2 linked regions of the Nothobranchius furzeri genome follow. The protein of the gene in region 1 interacts with the protein of each later gene in a pairwise test. Links are inferred from orthologs where the notes say so. Each region holds a gene or a part of one and is shown on either strand. Other genes may lie near its edges. The genes, in order: tada2a and sf3a3.

What was found.
Region 2: the proteins of tada2a (region 1) and sf3a3 interact in binary tests that used the Homo sapiens proteins (3 or more experiments, as listed by UniProt). The two-hybrid records come from large-scale screens. The link is inferred for Nothobranchius furzeri from reciprocal best matches to the Homo sapiens genes TADA2A and SF3A3.

The regions. Positions count from the first base shown.
Region 1 is NC_091753.1:55,051,079-55,059,942, forward strand, and holds part of tada2a (transcriptional adapter 2-alpha), read left to right. Parts: intron 1-794; coding exon 795-883; intron 884-1,099; coding exon 1,100-1,172; intron 1,173-1,271; coding exon 1,272-1,335; intron 1,336-3,677; coding exon 3,678-3,721; intron 3,722-5,509; coding exon 5,510-5,620; intron 5,621-6,180; coding exon 6,181-6,252; intron 6,253-6,370; coding exon 6,371-6,503; intron 6,504-7,904; coding exon 7,905-7,948; intron 7,949-8,864. UniProt on the Homo sapiens protein: Component of the ATAC complex, a complex with histone acetyltransferase activity on histones H3 and H4. Required for the function of some acidic activation domains, which activate transcription from a distant site. Binds double-stranded DNA.
Region 2 is NC_091751.1:25,498,472-25,507,335, forward strand, and holds part of sf3a3 (splicing factor 3A subunit 3), read left to right. Parts: coding exon 1-14; intron 15-95; coding exon 96-143; intron 144-2,124; coding exon 2,125-2,177; intron 2,178-3,721; coding exon 3,722-3,827; intron 3,828-3,911; coding exon 3,912-3,984; intron 3,985-6,188; coding exon 6,189-6,280; intron 6,281-6,351; coding exon 6,352-6,434; intron 6,435-6,504; coding exon 6,505-6,643; intron 6,644-6,723; coding exon 6,724-6,792; intron 6,793-6,866; coding exon 6,867-6,934; intron 6,935-8,864. UniProt on the Homo sapiens protein: Component of the 17S U2 SnRNP complex of the spliceosome, a large ribonucleoprotein complex that removes introns from transcribed pre-mRNAs.

The sequences.
Region 1 (8,864 bases):
TCAAGCTAGCTAACACCAGATACGACAATGTATTTATCCACCTATCAGCTTCCTGTGTACGACTCACCTTTACTTGTCATCTAGAATCTTCTGGTGCTGATCCGTGGCGGGAAACAGCCTTGAAACCCAAAATCAGTAGTGAAAAAGTGAGTTGTTAAGGGCTGCAGTTACAAAGTTAGACCACAGGATGTCGTAGTTACTTCAGGCTTCATCACAGAACTTTTGAATGGCCTGTATTTGATAAAGCGCCTTCTAGAGTCCTGGAACCCCCCAAGGCGCTTTACAACACAATCAGTCATTCACCCATTCACACACCCATTCACACACGGGTGGGGATGAGCTACGATGTAGCCACAGCTGCCCTGGGGCGCACTGACAGAGGCGAGGCTGCCGAGCACTGGCGCCACCGGACCCTCCGACCACCACCAGCAGGCAGCGTGGGTTAAGTGTCTTGCCCAAGGACACAACGACAGCAACAGACTGAGTGGGACTCGAACCTGCAACCTTTTGATTACGGGGCGAGCACTTAACTCCTGTGCCATCGTCGCCCCACACTTTTCAAAGGTCTCGGGTCATTTCTGATTTGTGTAGCTTTTAAGCAGCCAGGTGTTCCGAATTTAAGTTCTCCAGGTTTACCAGTTAAGTGTGAAAGTGACCCGGCAGAGAGTCGGACCCTCCACCTGTCAGAGCAGGTCGGTTCTGGTGTTGCTCGCATGCAGCGGGTAGATTTAAGCTTCCTGGTCATTAATGTGTTAAAGAGGAAGTTTGATTTTGGTTTTCCTCTGATCCCGCAGCCTCCGACGACCCGCCCCGGCCCACGTTCGACTCCATGCTGTCTCGGGACATGGCGGGCTACATGCCGGCCAGAGCGGACTTCATGGAGGTGTGTGTGTGTGTGTGTGTGTGTGTGTGTGTGCGTGTGTGTGACCTGCAAGAATAAACCATCAGAGTCGCCACTAGGGGGCTGGAGATGAACCCTCATTGAAACAGTGACTCATACCTTTGTTGTTGCCTCTCTGAGACCCGTTTCTCATAAATTGTTGATCGTCGCTCGGTGCAGACGAGCAGATTGTGAAAACCCTTTTCATGTCTCTCTCAGGAGTTCGACAACTATGCAGAATGGGACCTGAAGGACATTGACTTTGTGGACGATGACTCAGATATCCTGCGTGGTGCGTAGGACTTTTGTTTTTAGTATTTTTATTTTTCCGTCTGATTGACCTTCAGGTGGCTGACTTTACTTTTCCATGTGGTGTTTGCTTCTCTCACAGCCCTCAAGCTCGCTGTCGTTGATATTTATCATTCAAGATTAAAAGAGAGACAAAGAAGGAAGAAGTGGGTGAATTGTATTATTTGTGATAGAAGAAAGTACTCATTAACCTGTAATAACCTCCATCTTTCAGCAGATGGCGCCATACGCCTGAGAAATCACCCCCAGGTCTCTTAAGCTCTCTGGTTTAATTAATGACATTTATGCTCATTCTAAAGTACAAAGCAAACAGTTTCGTCTCCCTCTGAGCTCAGCTCCAACATTAATGATGCTGATGTGTTTATATCACCTAAAGAGGTGTTTGTTTTGTTAAAAGCTCATTTAGGACCAACGTCCTGCGAGGCTGTGCTAGCCAGAATCAGTTTCTTCAGTCGCTACAGAACACGGAGTGGTTCACGCTCAGCTGGTGGTCATTTTTAGAAAGAAGGAAATTGTGTCACTTTGTAAAAAGTCCCATAGAATGTTCTCCGTGTTGGAGGGAAAAGATTTCAACTCCCAGAGACCGAGGATGTTTTCTTTTAAACGACAGCCATCAGAAAACCCTCACACAGCTGTTTGAGTGTGCCCATCAAAAACGGTTTTCCTGAGAGTTTTTACTCTCCAGCAACCAAAGTTAAATCAGTCAAGTCAGCGTTTTCTGAAACTGTGGCCCTCAGGCTGGGATCGCTGGACCTCCAGGGGACCACCAGCCTTAAAAGGGCATTATGGAAGTGTGACAGCCAAAACATGTATAGAAATAATAAATGTCTTCTTCATACATTCTCCTGCAATGCCCTGGTCCTGTAGAATGAGCCCTGGCATTTTTACTGTGATTGCCTGTTTTTCTGTAAAATCACAGAAAAAGAGAGATGCTCGGGTCGAGCAGGCTGCTTCATGCGCGTTCACGCTCAGGCATCGCCCGTAGCATTTGCTATCTGTAGCTTTAGCAGCAGAGAGAGAGGCAGTGCCACTTTGTCGCTGTTCCTAACGCCTAGTGACAAAGCTAGCTACATTTCTGAGGACCCTTAGCTACTTTCTGTAGAACTTTCTTCTAGATATTTCCTGCAAATTAGCAACAAAACAGCCATTTTCACTCCGAACCGTTCTTTGAACATTGTTTCAGCTGTCATCAAGGATATAAATGTTACAGATACCAAGGACGTCACTGGAGACAGCTCACCTAGTAAGACATCGGACTCTCGTGTAGAAGACCTGGGTTTGATTCTGGATGTGAACACAGTTTATTTAAAGTTCATTTTTTACATTAATTGTATTTTTTTTTACAGTAAGAGGCCCAAATTTTTATTTGAGACTTGCCGAACGGCATTGAATTCACAGATAAAAAAGATCTGGGTTCAAATTTCATTTTGGAACAATTTTTCAAGCAAGGGAAGGGAATGATCTGAGCATGCAGGAGGACTGACCCATCTTAAACCTTTGTCGGCTGTGCTGAAGAGAAAGGTACAGAACCACATTATTTAATTAATTAGCTGCGTGTTCTCCTGTCCTCCGGGCCACACACACACACACACACACACACACACACACACACACACACACACACACACACACACACATGGGGCTGTCTCACCTGTTATTTTTGTTAAGGAGTGTGCACGTACAGCTTGTGCGCCTCGTGCACGAGCCTCCTATTGAAGCTGCAGTTATGCTTTTGGCCTGAGGGGGCAATCGCGAGCATAAAAATTCAAAACTCCATAAAGTCCCTTTAAGTTGTGGGTCTGTGGGACCTGAAGCTTGTCCTGGGGTGGACACATGCAGTGGTGTGAAAAACTATTTGCCCCCTTCCTGATTTCTTATTCTTTTGCATGTTTGTCACACAAAATGTTTCTGATCATCAAACACATTTAACCGTTAGTCAAAGATAACACAAGTAAACACAAAAAGCAGTTTTGAAATGATGGTTTTTATTATTTAGGGAGAGAACGAGATCCAAACCTACATTGCCCTGTGTTGAAAAAGTAATGGCCCCCCCTTTTTAAAAAATAACCCAACTGTGGTGTTTCACACCTGAGGTCAATTTCTGTAGCCACCCCCAAGCCTGATTGGGTGTGGTTAAAATATTCTGCATGTGACCATATTATGGTGGTTCTTGGGTCGTGATGATGGGGCCCTTGAATATTGTTGCCCAGGGTACAACAGAGTGTTAATCTGGCCCTGGCTGCAGTGAAGCTTCATCAGGTTAATAATGGGATTAAAGTGGTTTCAGATGATTGGTTCAGATGTAAAACGATCCTGGTGGCTGCATCAGCCTCTGCGTTATTAAGAAGTATAATAAAATAATAATAAAAGAGACACCTGCTAGTGTGAGACAGGAACATCCACCAGCGTCTCACCTCCACAGCCCTAAAACCATCACAGGCCATTTAACAGAGAGCAGGACCTAAAACTCCATGTTTGTCTCTTTCAGGATCATCCGGGACCATGGTCTGATCAACCTCCGCAAGTTTCAGAGTAAGAACCCCCCCCCCCCCCCAACCTCCCTCTAACGCGGATCAGCTGGTGGGTGGAGGGGGTGGGGGGCGCAAATGGTTCAGCTGTAATAACCTTCATCCACCACAGCAGCCGTTAGAGGTCTTGCATGGGGGGGGGGGGGGGGGGGGGGGGCACTGCCTAGCTGCTGTTTGATTAGTGTTGCTGCGGTAACGGCTCAAATGGGTGGGGGGGGGGGGCGATGCACCTGCTGGATCTCTAACCATTCCTCTGCACCTCTGGGTTTTTTATGAGTCATCGAAGGCTGCTGCTGCAGAAGGATTTTGTCCAATTACAGTGTCTCATCTCCCCCCCCCCCCCCCCCCCCACACACACACACACCAGCCCCACCTGTTGCTCTGAGAAGCAGTCCTCTCTTCTGCCCTGTTTTAATAGATGCTTCCTTCAGCCAACATTTCCCACAGCCCTCCGGCGTTCTGAAGACAAAAGAGGACTACGATTGCAAACTGGTTGTCATGGCGACTGTCAAAAGTCTGTTTGTGTGTGTGTGTTTGTAATCATGCGTGTGTGATCGTGTGTGCATCACGTGTAATAACAGCACCTGAGCCTGGGAGGCTCTGTATCGTGTCTGTGCTGCAGGAGGTGCAGCGGCCGGGAGATTCTGGCGGCTATCAGGCCACATCGAGGTGCTGAGTCTCCATCTCCATGGAGACGTGAATAACTTTGTGTGTGTGTGTGTGAGGGGGGGGGGGGGGGGGGGGGAGTCTGCTGTTTGGAGCCCGGCTTCAGCCTGAGATGGCAGCTGCTAATTAGAGCTCAGATGCTGAAGTCTCCTGGTTGTAACAGGAGTGACAGTTCAACACCCGGCTGTTACCCGGCAACACGAGAGAAGCTTTAAGACAGCGTGTGTGTGTGTGTGTGTGTGTTGAGATCTGTGTGTGATCAGGTGTTTGAATAAAAATGGAGGATTTTTATCCCCAGTTCTGTCGGCACTGCAGCCGTGAGCGATGACGTCAGCAGGGAGGAGATAACAGGAAGTGGCGTGTTCTACTAGGGCTATACTGCTCAGTCCAGAAATAAATCCTGCCAATCATTTTAGGAAATGCTAAATCCACTTTTTTGATGCTGGACATGGGTTTGACTCCCAGTGATTCAACAAACTTTTTTTTTTTCCCAGATTTGAACGTCTTTACCGTCTCTGTCAAGTGGAAAGTAATATTTCTCTCAAAACCAGGAGAATAAAGATTAAAATGTGTAATCTGAGGAGACAGAAGCTAAGTAGCAAAGATGTTCCTGCTGTGCCGAGGAAACATATTTGCTCTTAACACCGGAGCGTTTCCTAGGTTGTTCTACTGGAGAGCAGAGTCCGTGGTTCCGTCAGTAGCAGGAAGTGTTCCTGAAGCAGCAGAGCAGCCCCAGACCATCACACTACTACCACCATGTCTGGCTGTTGCTATAGTGATGGTTGGGTTGACTCCAGATGGAACTGGACATCCAGAAAAGTCTTGGATCATTGGGGTTTTGGCCTTGGAGCGCTCTCACAGACGACATTTTTGCTCCTTGTTTCCTTTTTTGTTTTTGACTTGTGACCTCTGACCTTACTTTAGAATGAGCTGGTTTTGTGATGATGAGTGGGTCGTGCCGTGCTGCTTTGTGGGGTTGTTTAGCCTGCTTCCTGATGGAGGCGTGGAACTGAACTCTGCTTCATTAATAATCTTGTCTTTAATGCCAGCTAACGAGGGGGACGGTGACCGATCCACGCGTGTCCCGGTCGGTTTGGACTCACTCCTGTCCTCTTTTGGTTGTCAGTGCTGGAGCGATGCTACCCGAAGGAGGTGCAGGAGCTGTATGACATCATGAGGAGGTTTGCAAGAGTGGTGGGGCCGGTCGAGCATGACAAATTCATCGAAAGTCACGCGCGTGAGTATCTGGTTGCCATGGTTACCACCACTGGTCAGCAGGCCGTTTTCACGTAGCTTCGGCTGAATGTCGATGAGCTCGGTGGACCTCCACCTCACTCGTTCCCTCTGAAGCTGCTTTCATCTGCCAGCAGGCAGGAATCAGGCGTGACATGTTGCGCAGCCGTGTTGGTGTGGCGTGTTCCAGCTCAGCCTTTCACGCCTCCATCGATTCAGCCGTGTGACGGCGTGCGGCTCCGTCCAGCCGCCTGCTGCAGGTGTTGCAGGGCTGGAGGCTTGCTTGCTGCTTTCTTTCTCATTTCCAGTTCTGCTAATGTAGTTTGCGATTTCATAGATGCCACTCTGCTTTATTTAACCTGAACAGTTGCTAGGCAACCAGCTCTGACCCCAGAAAAATCTCTTTGTTGTGGTGTAAAAATCCAGTCTTTACCCTTTGCACTCGGGGTCTTTAGATGGTTTTAGTGTCAGGCTAGAGGAAGTTCTCTGATGCTTCTCATCGTGACGATCTGCAGCAGCGGCGACCCGATCCACATTAAACCTTCAACACTCTTGTCGTTCCAGTGGAGTTTGAGTTGAGGAGAGAGATCCGCCGGCTGCAGGAATACAGGAAAGCAGGGATCAAGTCGTTCTGCAGTGAGTTGAACTTTGACCTTTACCTTCAACGTTTCAGCAGCACTTTTCTGAAGGCCTGCGTAAACCTGAGGAATTAGGTCACAGTCATGCATTTACGTCTCCGTTCCGTCTGCATCAGGCGCTAAAGTGTACGAGCGGGTGAAGCGGATGCGCGAGGACGAGCGCAGGAAGAGGACCATGTTGTGTGACGTCCTTCAGTACATCCAAGATGGAAAAGCCTGCCAGCAGTGGCTCAGCAAGCAGGCCGCCATGTAAGAGCTTAACAGCTGGGCTTACCGGAGATGACTAAACGTCATGTTTCCACCTCACTCTGACGTACGTGTTTGGCTCTGGTTAACGTGCCGCCGCAGCGGCTCCCGTTTGGCTTTTATCTGAGGCGTTTTCCTGCCTGTTGTCCCAAAAATCCATAAAACTGCAATGATTCATGTTTTTGGATGAGAATCTGGAGCAAGAAGAGTGAACAAAGCCTTGAGTGGGTGGGTGGGTGAGTGAGTGAGTGAGTGAGTGAGTGAGTGAGTGAGTGAGTGAGTGGGTGGGTGGGTGGGTGGGTGAGTGAGTGGGTGGGTGGGTGAGTGAGTGAGTGAGTGTGGGTGAGTGAGTGGGTGAGTGAGTGAGTGAGTGAGTGGGTGAGTGAGTGGGTGAGTGAGTGAGTGAGTGAGTGGGTGGGTGGGTGAGTGAGTGAGTGAGTGTGGGTGAGTGAGTGGGTGAGTGAGTGAGTGAGTGAGTGGGTGAGTGAGTGAGTGAGTGAGTGGGTGGGTGGGTGAGTGAGTGAGTGAGTGTGGGTGAGTGAGTGGGTGAGTGAGTGAGTGAGTGAGTGGGTGAGTGAGTGAGTGAGTGAGTGGGTGGGTGGGTGAGTGAGTGAGTGGGTGGGTGGGTGAGTGAGTGAGTGAGTGAGTGAGTGGGTGGGTGGGTGAGTGAGTGAGTGGGTGGGTGAGTGAGTGAGTGAGTGAGTGAGTGGGTGAGTGAGTGAGTGAGTGAGTGAGTGAGTGAGTGAGTGAGTGAGTGAGTGGGTGGGTGGGTGAGTGAGTGAGTGAGTGAGTGAGTGAGTGAGTGAGTGAGCGAGCGAGAGTGGGTGAGTGAGTGAGTGAGTGAGTGAGTGAGTGGGTGAGTGAGTGAGTGGGTGAGTGAGTGGGTGGGTGGGTGGGTGAGTGAGTGAGTGAGTGAGTGGGTGAATGAGTGAGTGAGTGAGTGAGTAAGCGAGCGAGAGTGGGTGAGTGAGTGAGTGGGTGAGTGAGTGAGTGGGTGAGTGGGTGAGTGAGTGAGTGAGTGAGTGGGTGGGTGAGTGGGTGAGTGAGTGAGTGGGTGGGTGAGTGAGTGAGTGAGTGAGTGAGTGAGTGAGTGAGTGAGTGGGTGGGTGGGTGGGTGAGTGAGTGAGTGAGTGAGTGAGTGAGTGAGTGGGTGAGTGAGTGAGTGAGTGAGTGAGTGAGTGAGTGAGTGAGTGGGTGGGTGGGTGGGTGGGTGAGTGGGTGGGTGGGTGGGTGGGTGAGTGAGTGAGTGAGTGAGTGAGTGAGTGAGTGAGTGAGTGAGTGGGTGGGTGGGTGGGTGAGTGAGTGAGTGAGTGGGTGGGTGGGTGGGTGGGTGGGTGAGTGAGTGAGTGAGTGAGTGAGTGAGAACGTGGCAGCAGATAATAATACTTTTCTGTCTCATTACAGAGATGCGGGTGTCACTCCAGCTGTCACAACGATCACGGTATCGGGTACGAAGTTTCTCTTCTCCTCGTGCTCCGCTCTGTCTGTCTGACTTCAGTTGCTACAACGTTTTGTTCACACGTGGAAACTGGAGCCCAGGAGTAGAGCCCTAGGCCCGCGGGTCGGCCCGGCCCGACGCCCCGAGGGCCGGGCTTTGGGCCAACGACTGTGTAATTACCTCGGACACGGGCCGGGCCGGGCGCCTTTATTTTTAATCGAATTCATAAAAAACAAAACTGAAACACTTGAACGCAGCAGCACCTGCCTGCTTCTCACGCACCGTCAGCTCAGTTCAGGTCTGTGTGGTTTATAATATAAACAAATTCTCAAACTGCTGATTGAAACATGTGCCCCTATTCTAATACGCCGTTTTATGTCCACTCTGATGTCAGAAACCGTTCGTTTATTCTCATGAAAACGGCAGCATTCCATTTTTCTGTGAATAAATTCGCTCTGCAGTTAGAAAAAAACAGCATTCACTGCTGTTTTTTTCTAACTGCGCATTTTCAGAGCGGCAGATTAAATTTACAAACGCATCCAATTAATATAGTGTTCGTAAATTTCATCTGCCGCTCGAAAAATACGCTCTGTTAGAAAAAAGCTGCATTGATGCTGTTTTTCTTTCTTTATTTATTTTTTACTGCAGAACGCTTCTCACAGATTATTAGAACGCGGAGCATTCTATCACGCTAAAACATTATGAAAGGTTAAAAAAAAGTCGGGCTCGGGTCAGGCCAGAGATTCCTGAAAACCTTTTCGGACCGGGTCGGGCTGGGGCTCCACCCCCTCGGAACGGGCCGGACACGGGCTCAGATTTTAGGCCCGTGCAGGGCTCTACCCAGGAGCTCTGATAAACACAACCCTGCAGAATTACCCCACCCACTAGACCAGGAAACGAATATTAAATTAGCTGCATGCTGATTG
Region 2 (8,864 bases), on another chromosome or scaffold:
ACAAAAAGACCACGGTAAGCAGCGCAGCTTTTAGCATTAGCATGTTGCTAACACCAACGCAATGTTCACGTATTTGTTTTCGACTCTTGTTTCAGCTGCGGGATCAAATTAATTGTGATCATCGAATAAGAGCCATGTTGGATGTAAGTATGAAATGCTGCTCTTCCACCAGTGAGCTAAATGTTGTTTGGTGGTGTAGTTTTTTCCGTCGTGTTAAGTAATAGAGTCAATAACAATCATTGTGCTTAAGATCTGAATTTTATGAATCATTGCAATCGATGTTGTTCTGATTTGTTAAATGTAATATAGAAGTTATATCAGAAAATAAAGCTTATTTGTTGTTGGGTAAAGTTGCTTTTATTTTTATTGAGTTACCTGTAATGCTTGGTTCCTGCCTTGGTCGTCATTCACTTTTAGTGTAACTTTGGTGAATTTTCACCATCCATCCATCCATCGTCTGAACCCGCTTGGCCACGTAGGGTCGCGGGGGGGGGGGGACTGGTGCCCATCTCCAGCGGTCAATGGGCAATCAGGCGGGGTACACCCTGGACAGAGTGCCAGCCCATCGCAGGGGACTTTCACTGAATTTTCACTAATAGTATCCAAACGTTTAGAGAAGTAAATCAAAACCTCAGGTTGATCACTGCTGCTCTTTTAATCTGAAGTTCTCCTCATTAAAATGCAGTGAAACCAGAGGGCTTTACTGACACATCCAGACTTCATACACAAAACCCAACAGGTGGTACAGAGGGAGGATTGATCCTGCCAACGCTTACATTAAATTAAGAAAGGGCAAAAAAAAAAAGTAATTCAATAAATGAGGAAATACAATTGAAGATAACACACTTGGAGTTAAATGAATACAATTATTAATTTCCACATCTATTTTTTTAATACATTTCTTCATTTATATTCCTCACACTTCCTGTGGTATATGGTGATGAGGTGAATTAAAGTTAAAGTCCCACTAGTTGTCACACTGATGTGTGACATTGTTCTCTGCATTTGACCCACCCCCGGCAGTCCTCCAAAGGTTGTTGGAGACACGGCAGCACTCGGGAGCTATTTGGTGGTTTAACCCCCGATCCAACCCTTTAAAGCTTAGTGCCAAGCAAGGAGGCATTGGTTCCTGTTTTTCGAATCTTAGGTGTGACTCGACCGTGGATTTGAATCCCGATATCCCAGTCCCAGGGCAGACACTCATACTAATAGCCCACCTAATAATTGCATCATGTATTTCTATATGTACTTTCAATTTTATAACCAGTTATTGTCAATTTTGGTGGGATCAGACCTCCATAGGTTGATTTTTAAAATGTTTTAAATAATTTTAAGAATCACATTTAAACATGATCCTGAATGAAAGCGTATGTCGTGGTTGAATAAAATACTTGATCAGCTCAGTGCAGTGTGCTGGTTGCTTCTAAAGGTAATGTGCTTTATTTAACAATCTGATGTTTATTTAGATCTTCTCAGATCTAACAGAACTATGATGACATCTGAATCAGTCTGATATTTCTACCTGGAGATTCTAAGAAGCAGAATTTGTCAACTGATCTCACACACAGCTTAACCCAAAGTCTTAGATCCGGAGGGCATTATGCACATAGGGGTTGGGGTGCTCGGAGCGCCCCAACCCCTATGTGCGTAATGCCCTCCTCCCCTTTTCATCTAATGATCGTGGTTAAAAGGAAATCCTCCAGAATGCTGCAGAATCTGTGTCTGCTTTTTTTTTCCTGAGCGGTAAGTCTTGTGTGAGTGCATGCTTGCATGCACGCGCGAGTGTGCCTGCGCTAGTTAACAACTCGTTTTTAGATTGAGAAACTCCGACAGCACACGCGGAGGGGTTGAGGGGGGTGCGGTCTACCACTGCCTCAGTGCCGCTCTCCCGGTTCGCCAGGTGACGCCTCTTTCAGAAGCGTTTTTCTAACAGGAAATGTGGATGAAATGCGTCTCCAACCAGGCATTGACCCTCACTTTAAATAGTATTCTAGAGCTAGGTGTTGTCAAGCTATGTGTTACCATGGTAATTTAGAGCCAAGTCTATTACCATGATGATCTAACAGTGAGTCAGTGTTGGCTAGTTTAATGTCATCTGTTGTCATGTTCTGTGTCTCCTCACAGAGGTATATGGAAGTGAGTGCAAATCTCAGGGACTCTTATGAAGACAAAGATGGGTACGTTTTAATTTTTTTAAATATATTCAATGTACTTTTTTTTTTTGCTTGTTAGAGTTAAGCTGTTGTCTCTTTCTGTTACCCATTGTTTACTCAGGTTTGTTTTCCTGACAGTAAAAAAAATCTAAATATATAATTACATTTTTATTCTGGCCTATCAGAAGCGTTGGTATCCCATTCCACGGCTTTTGTTGCTACTTCTTTTATTAAATATATTAAATATTAAAGTCCAATGGCTCTATTTATAAAACTTTGTTTGGATCCTTTACTAAAAAAATTTACTTGCAGAAATAAAAAATTGGACCCATAAAACACTGCGTACATATAGCTGTACACAATTCCTGCTTTATCTAACTCTACCTAGAAATGTGTTCAGGTGATTTTGGATCACATCCCGCCTCCCGCACACCCACTGCTACCATTATGGTCAGTGCAAATCACTTCATCAATATTCTGGATATACATAAGCCAGCCAACCTGTGGATTTTCATGTGGAAACCATGGCAACAGCGAAAAACGCCTGTTTCACTGAGCTTGAAATCGAGGTGCTTGTGGGTGAGGTAGGGCATGGAAAATCTTTTTATTGTCTTTGAGTGGTACAGCGTTTGGTATGGCGGCGGATTCTGTCAGAGTGATGAGAGATCTGTGGTGAATATAAAAAGAAAAAAAACATTCAAAAGAAGTGGTCAGATGGAGGCAAAGAGGAAGATGGCATTTAAATGCTATCATTTAATGATACCATCTAAACGACTTCCTTATGATGCTGAGATATTTCTGATGTAAGGGAAACATTAAAACTCATTCATAAGTTACATTGAGAATATGTCAGTCTGTGATATTAATTTATGATTTTATTATGGCGAGTGCATAAAGCCCAGCGAACCATCGTTTTGCGTATACAAAGAGCACTCGCTACTGCTTTATGGAAGAAACACTGCCTTGCCAGAATTTGAATTTTTTAGACGTTCATTTAATTAGAATTTTAATTCTGTGAAATCGTGTACTTGAATTTATTTACTTGTTTACTTAAATTACACCAGCAAAATTTTAATCTGTTAAACATCAATTGCAGAATTTCATCTTCAAAAATTCAACAACAGGATTTCAACAGCAAAAATTCAACATCAACTGACGTAACCAAGCCAAAGTAAACATCACTCCATTGAGTCGACATCTAACTGGTGTCACATGATCAGAGAAGTCTAATATGCTTGGCTAAAAGCCTCTTGAATCTATTAATCGATGGTCGCTTTGGCTTGGTTTACCAAGAGGTCACCTCAGTTGTTGAATTTTTATGGATGAAATCTTTGCTGATGTATTTTAAATTTTAAAAAATTCAAATAACACATAATAAAAATTCTTTTTCATAAATTCTATGTCTAAAAAAAGTCATTCTGATGAGATTGTATTTCTTCCATACAACATTTCCTTCTTTTTTCCATATCAGATCTGATAAAGGCGAGGCGTTGGATTGGTGTTTTATGTTTACTTGTGTTTAAGTGTTGAAAACACCTGAATAAAAAATGGAAATTGCTCCCATCCAGCATGAGAAAGGACGAGCTTGGTGCCATCTCTGGACCAAATGAGTTTGCAGAGTTCTACAACAGACTAAAGCAGATAAAGGAGTTCCACCGAAAGCACCCAAATGAAGTAAGAGACATCGTGAGCAGTCAGATTAGATTGTATAGTGTACCTGAAGCAGTCTCACTGCTGTTTGTCTCATATTTTCTGTAGATTTCCATCCCCATGTCTGCAGAATTTGAAGAGTTGATGAAGGCCAAAGAAAATCTCAGCGAGGAGGCTCAGAGTAAGTTCGACGAGGTTTGCCATTCATCCATGTTTAATGGATAAGAGTGGGTGTCACAATTCCCCTGAGCTAGATTTCAAGGTGGTGCTGCCATGTGGGTCTCTCTAAGCACTCCTGACCTGTCCATTTGTTTCTTTCAGTGTTTGGTTTTAGGAATTATGCCTGAAACAATCCACTAAATTCGCATAGGAAACACACACACACATGGCTGATGACTGGAGCAGTTACAGCTCTACTCCAAGCCCCTCCTAGATTCACAGGAGTGAGCCTCACCTCACACCTCACCTTCCTCCGCTTATCCGGGGTCAGGGTTGCTGGGGCAGCATCCCAAGTAGGGCCCCCCAGGCAGTCCTCTCTCTGGCCACGTCCGCCAGCTCTTCAGCTGGGACACCCAGGCATTCTCTGGCCAACCTAGAGATGTATTTCCTCCAGGTAGTCCTGGGTCAACCCAGGGGCCTCCTGCCGGCAGGACATGCCCAAACACCTCCCGAGGGAGGCGTCAAGGAGGCATCCTGACCACATGCCCGAACCACCTCAACTGGCTCCTTTCGATGCGGAGGAGCCAGTTGAGCTGCGGCTCCACTCAGAGTCCCTCCCGGATGTCTGAGTTTCTTAGCCCAGACCTTTTCCGATCGAGAACCATGGTTTCAGATTTGGAGGTACTGATCCTCATCCCAGCTGCATCACACTCGGCTGCGAACCTCCCCAGCAAGAGCTGTAGGTCCGAGCTTGATGAAGCTAGGAGGACCACATCCGCAAAAAGCAGGGATGAGATTCTCCTGCCACCAAACTCCACACCCTCAACACCACGGCTGCACCTAGAAATCCTGTTCATAAATGTTATGAACAGGACTAGTGACAAAGGGCAGTCCTGGCGGAGTCCATCCCCGGTCTGCCGCTCCACAGGAACTGCCCCTGATGACCACGCAATGTTTCAGAGACATCTCAACCACGACAGTCCTACAATATCCAAAGCCGTGAGATACCCAGGACGAATCTCATCCACCTCCGAGGCTCCACTGCTGTGTAGTTGTGTGACTACCTCAGTAACTTCTGCCCTAGAGATCGGACAGTCCGTTCCCAGGTCAACCAAGGCTGTTCCTCCTTGGAATGCGTGTCAGTGGGATTGAGAAACTCCTCAAAGTATTCCTTCCACCGTCCGACTGTTGCCCCAGTTGACGTCAGCAGCTCCCCATCCCCACTGCAGAAAGTGTGAGCGAGTTGCCGCCTTCCCGTCCAGAGGCGCTGGACAGTTTGTCAGAACCTCTTTGGAGCCGACCGATGGTCTTTTTCCACAGCTTCTCCCATGTCCGAGCTTTTGCCTCAGAAAGTGCCACTGCCATCCGGCTCCACAGAGTCTTGAAACGACTCACTCTGGAAGGTTCTGGAGCTGCCAAAGCTGCTGAGATCGCTTTATTAGAGGGATTTGGAGCAGAGAACTAGATTAATTTGGTTCATTAAGATCTGGATTAAATAACATGGGTTGGTGCACATTAAAATCTAATCGTAGGTTTAGCTGAGCTGAGGTTTGATCCATTTTTAGTTTCCAGTTTCCATCCCAAAACTCATGAAACATCTGGAAATTTTTAGCTCATTGGTACTTCATTCATTCATTCTCTACCTGCAATAGAGGCTCATTCAACTATTTGAGGTTGTCAATCCCAGCTTGTAATTAGTCTTTTTGCTGTGTTCCTGAGCATTAGCCTAGCCAGCCATGCCAAAGCAAAGGGCCTGGTGACGCTCCCATTCAGCCCCCCCCCCCCTCTTTCCGAATTTGAACTGAGCCAATCAGCGCTAAGCAGCGTACGTCACACACTGACACTCGGTTTCTCATAAACAACAAAGATGGCGTCTAAAACGGAGATCGCTGTGGCTGTTTCCTCTGTTCTAAGTAACTTGGACATGTCTTTAAATTCACAAAAGAAGCACTAAAAGCCTTTCCTCTAAAGAAAGATGTTTACGCTGTTGCCAGACGCCATCTTTGACTAGAGCGCTGTGCGATACAGTCGTCAGTTCTGCCTTTTATTTGACTGGTTATTTTTGAGCTGGTTAGTCCCGCCCCTCGTGGTGCTCTCTGCCTCTGAGATCCAGACCCGTCCTCTGTGTAGAGTGGACGGAGGGCGAGCCTGGCAGGCCAGGCTACTTGTAACGAGTGAGTGACGGGAGAAGCTGCGGCTGAAGTGATGCTTGTGTGTCTTTCTCAGACATGGTGGATTTCACTGACGAGGAGGGATACGGTCGCTACCTGGATCTCCATGACTGCTACCTGAAGTACATCAACCTGAAGGGAGCCGAGGTTGGGATCCTCACATCGTCCACGTGTGTGATTTGGATCCATGTATTCTTACTGCCGCTCCTGTCTTACAGAAGGTGGATTATATCAGTTACCTGACCTCGTTTGACCAGCTGTTTGACATCCCTAAAGACAGGAAAAACGCTGAGTATAAAAAGTAGGCCTTTCTCTGCGGTGTCACGTCCGACTCGACGGGTCAGAAAATCTTATGACACGACTTTGTTCAGGTACCTGGAGATGCTGCTTGAGTACCTGCAGGACTACACAGACCGGGTCAAACCTCTGTCGGACCAGAATGAGCTCTACAGCAAAGTGCTCGGAGACTTCGAGAAGAAGTGGGACAATGGCACCTTTCCTGGGTGGCCCGTAAGTCCAGAACTGTCTGCTGGCTCTGATGGGGCTCGCTGATCCCTCCTGACATGCTTGGCTTTTTGATTTTGCTCTAGAAAGAGACGAGTAGTGCTCTGACTCACGCCGGTGCTCATCTGGACCTCTCTGCTTTTTCTTCCTGGGAGGTAAGTAACCGGAATCTCCTGGTTGGAGTTAAAACTGAAGGTTGCTTCCTCACACACCTGTTTGTGTCACACAGGAGCTGGCCTCGCTGGGTCTGGACCGACTCAAATCTGCTCTCATGGCTCTGGGACTGAAGTGTGGAGGGTAAGAAATCTGGGACCAGAGTATGAAAAGTAGCACAAGGGGATCTCCACACAACACAAAAACGCAGTACAACAGTGGAGGACATGGTAGTGATGTTCTACGTTCTGTTTAGTCGTGGCTTTTTGTCAGACTCTCAAACCGGGAACAGCAGCGGGAGGAAAACTCTGGAGCAACTAGTGACTCTACCTCCTTGCCAGAGAACATCTCAGCAAGTAGAAGCTAACTGTTAGCATTAGCAACTCCACCACACAGCAGAACTTCTCAAGGTTTGTGTTATATGTGGAGATGAAACACAAAAGCACACAGTCAGTGGTATAGTCACGTTGCTGTTAGGAGAGATTAGATCTGTAGCGAAGCCTCGATGACGTCGACGGCTCGATTCTAAAAATTTGTCGCCGTCAGATCCGGTAGTCGACGCACCGCGCCCACTTGTTGCATCCCCAGGAGTTTGTAAATAGAGGAGGAATCTGCCTGGTTTTCCTCTAGTTCGCCCTCTTCTCCGCCTTCACTAACATCTCCGCCAAATACCGAAGACCCGGAACAATGTCCGTCCGCTGCTATATTCCTTTCCTGTTTTGCCCGCCTTCGTCTCCCGGCAACAGACAACAACTTCCGGGGTCAGATGCGCTGCTTCGTCTCTACCACAGATGTAGAAAATCACCGGGAGCGTTTCTCCCTTCATAAAGGAGCTTCTTTCAGACATGAGGAGAGCTGTTTTGGTGGTAGCAGACTCTCCTCCGCGCTGGTCTGTTTGCTGCTGGGTGTTTTTGGTTTATTTAAACTTGGTAACTTGAACTTAACGTTGGTAAAGCTACTGTTAGCATTTTCGCTAACAGCTTCTTGCGTTGGGATGAGCGTTTATGTTTTGGTTTAGAGTTCATCTTTTTTGTGGTGCAGATCTCCTTTTATTACATTTAGAGTGTTGTGGGTTTTCGGTTTAGTGTAAAATATCACCTTGAGTTTGGTTTAACCACCCAGTTTAGAGTTTGGACCTTTGGAGATCCATATTTTGGTCCAGAACCCTGTAATATTTGCCCAGTGGGACATCCCTAGTTATTTGTACTTTTGTTTTAATTCCCCACAGGCAGAATTAGTTTTATTATTCCCAACCTGTGGATGGAAAGGTTTATGTTTTTTGTTGTTGTAAATAAACCTGACCATCATTTTAACTTTAAAATCCCGTGTTATTGTCCCTTCCTTTTTGCACACGAGCCAAACTCCCCAGGAAGGGTCGTAACACCACTCGCCTCACGCACATAAGTGACCAAAACAAAGCAGCATGGAGACTCTCCGTCTCCATCCACCTCTCAGGCAGCAGCCTGCTCTCCCAAGTTCTACACGTCACCAGAACATAACCAACCGCAACACAATAAAAGCAGTTTTATACAAAATGGAAGGCCTGTAGTGTTTATTCTCTTACAGTAACAATTAATCAATTTTTTAGAGGAATTTATTTGTTTGTTTTTTGGTTTTTATTAACCGTGCAATAGAAGAATAAACACTAGATTAATTGTCTAAATAGTCATTAGAATAGTCGACTATTCGTCAGAATAATCGTTTTAGAAATAATCGTTTACCCCCAGCCCTAGGAGAGATGTCTGAATATCAGGAAACAGGATCTGCACCCCTCTCTCCTGGCTGCTTTCACACAAACTTGGACCTGGCGTAGGCACATTTCGGAGATGGTGACACATTTTCAGACTTGTAGACACACACACGCACAAAACCAACAAGCCCCCGCCCCAGTCTCTGAAATGGGAATAATTACATCTGTAATTATAATATAATGTTTTTTAGATATTACTTTCATATGTCTTCAGATTACTCATTGGTGCATCTCTAACTATAAACTAAAACGGCACCGCAGCAACCCGGGTGGAGGTGCATCTGTCGGTTTTCCTTGGACAGCGGCTCAGATGGAACACCGGCT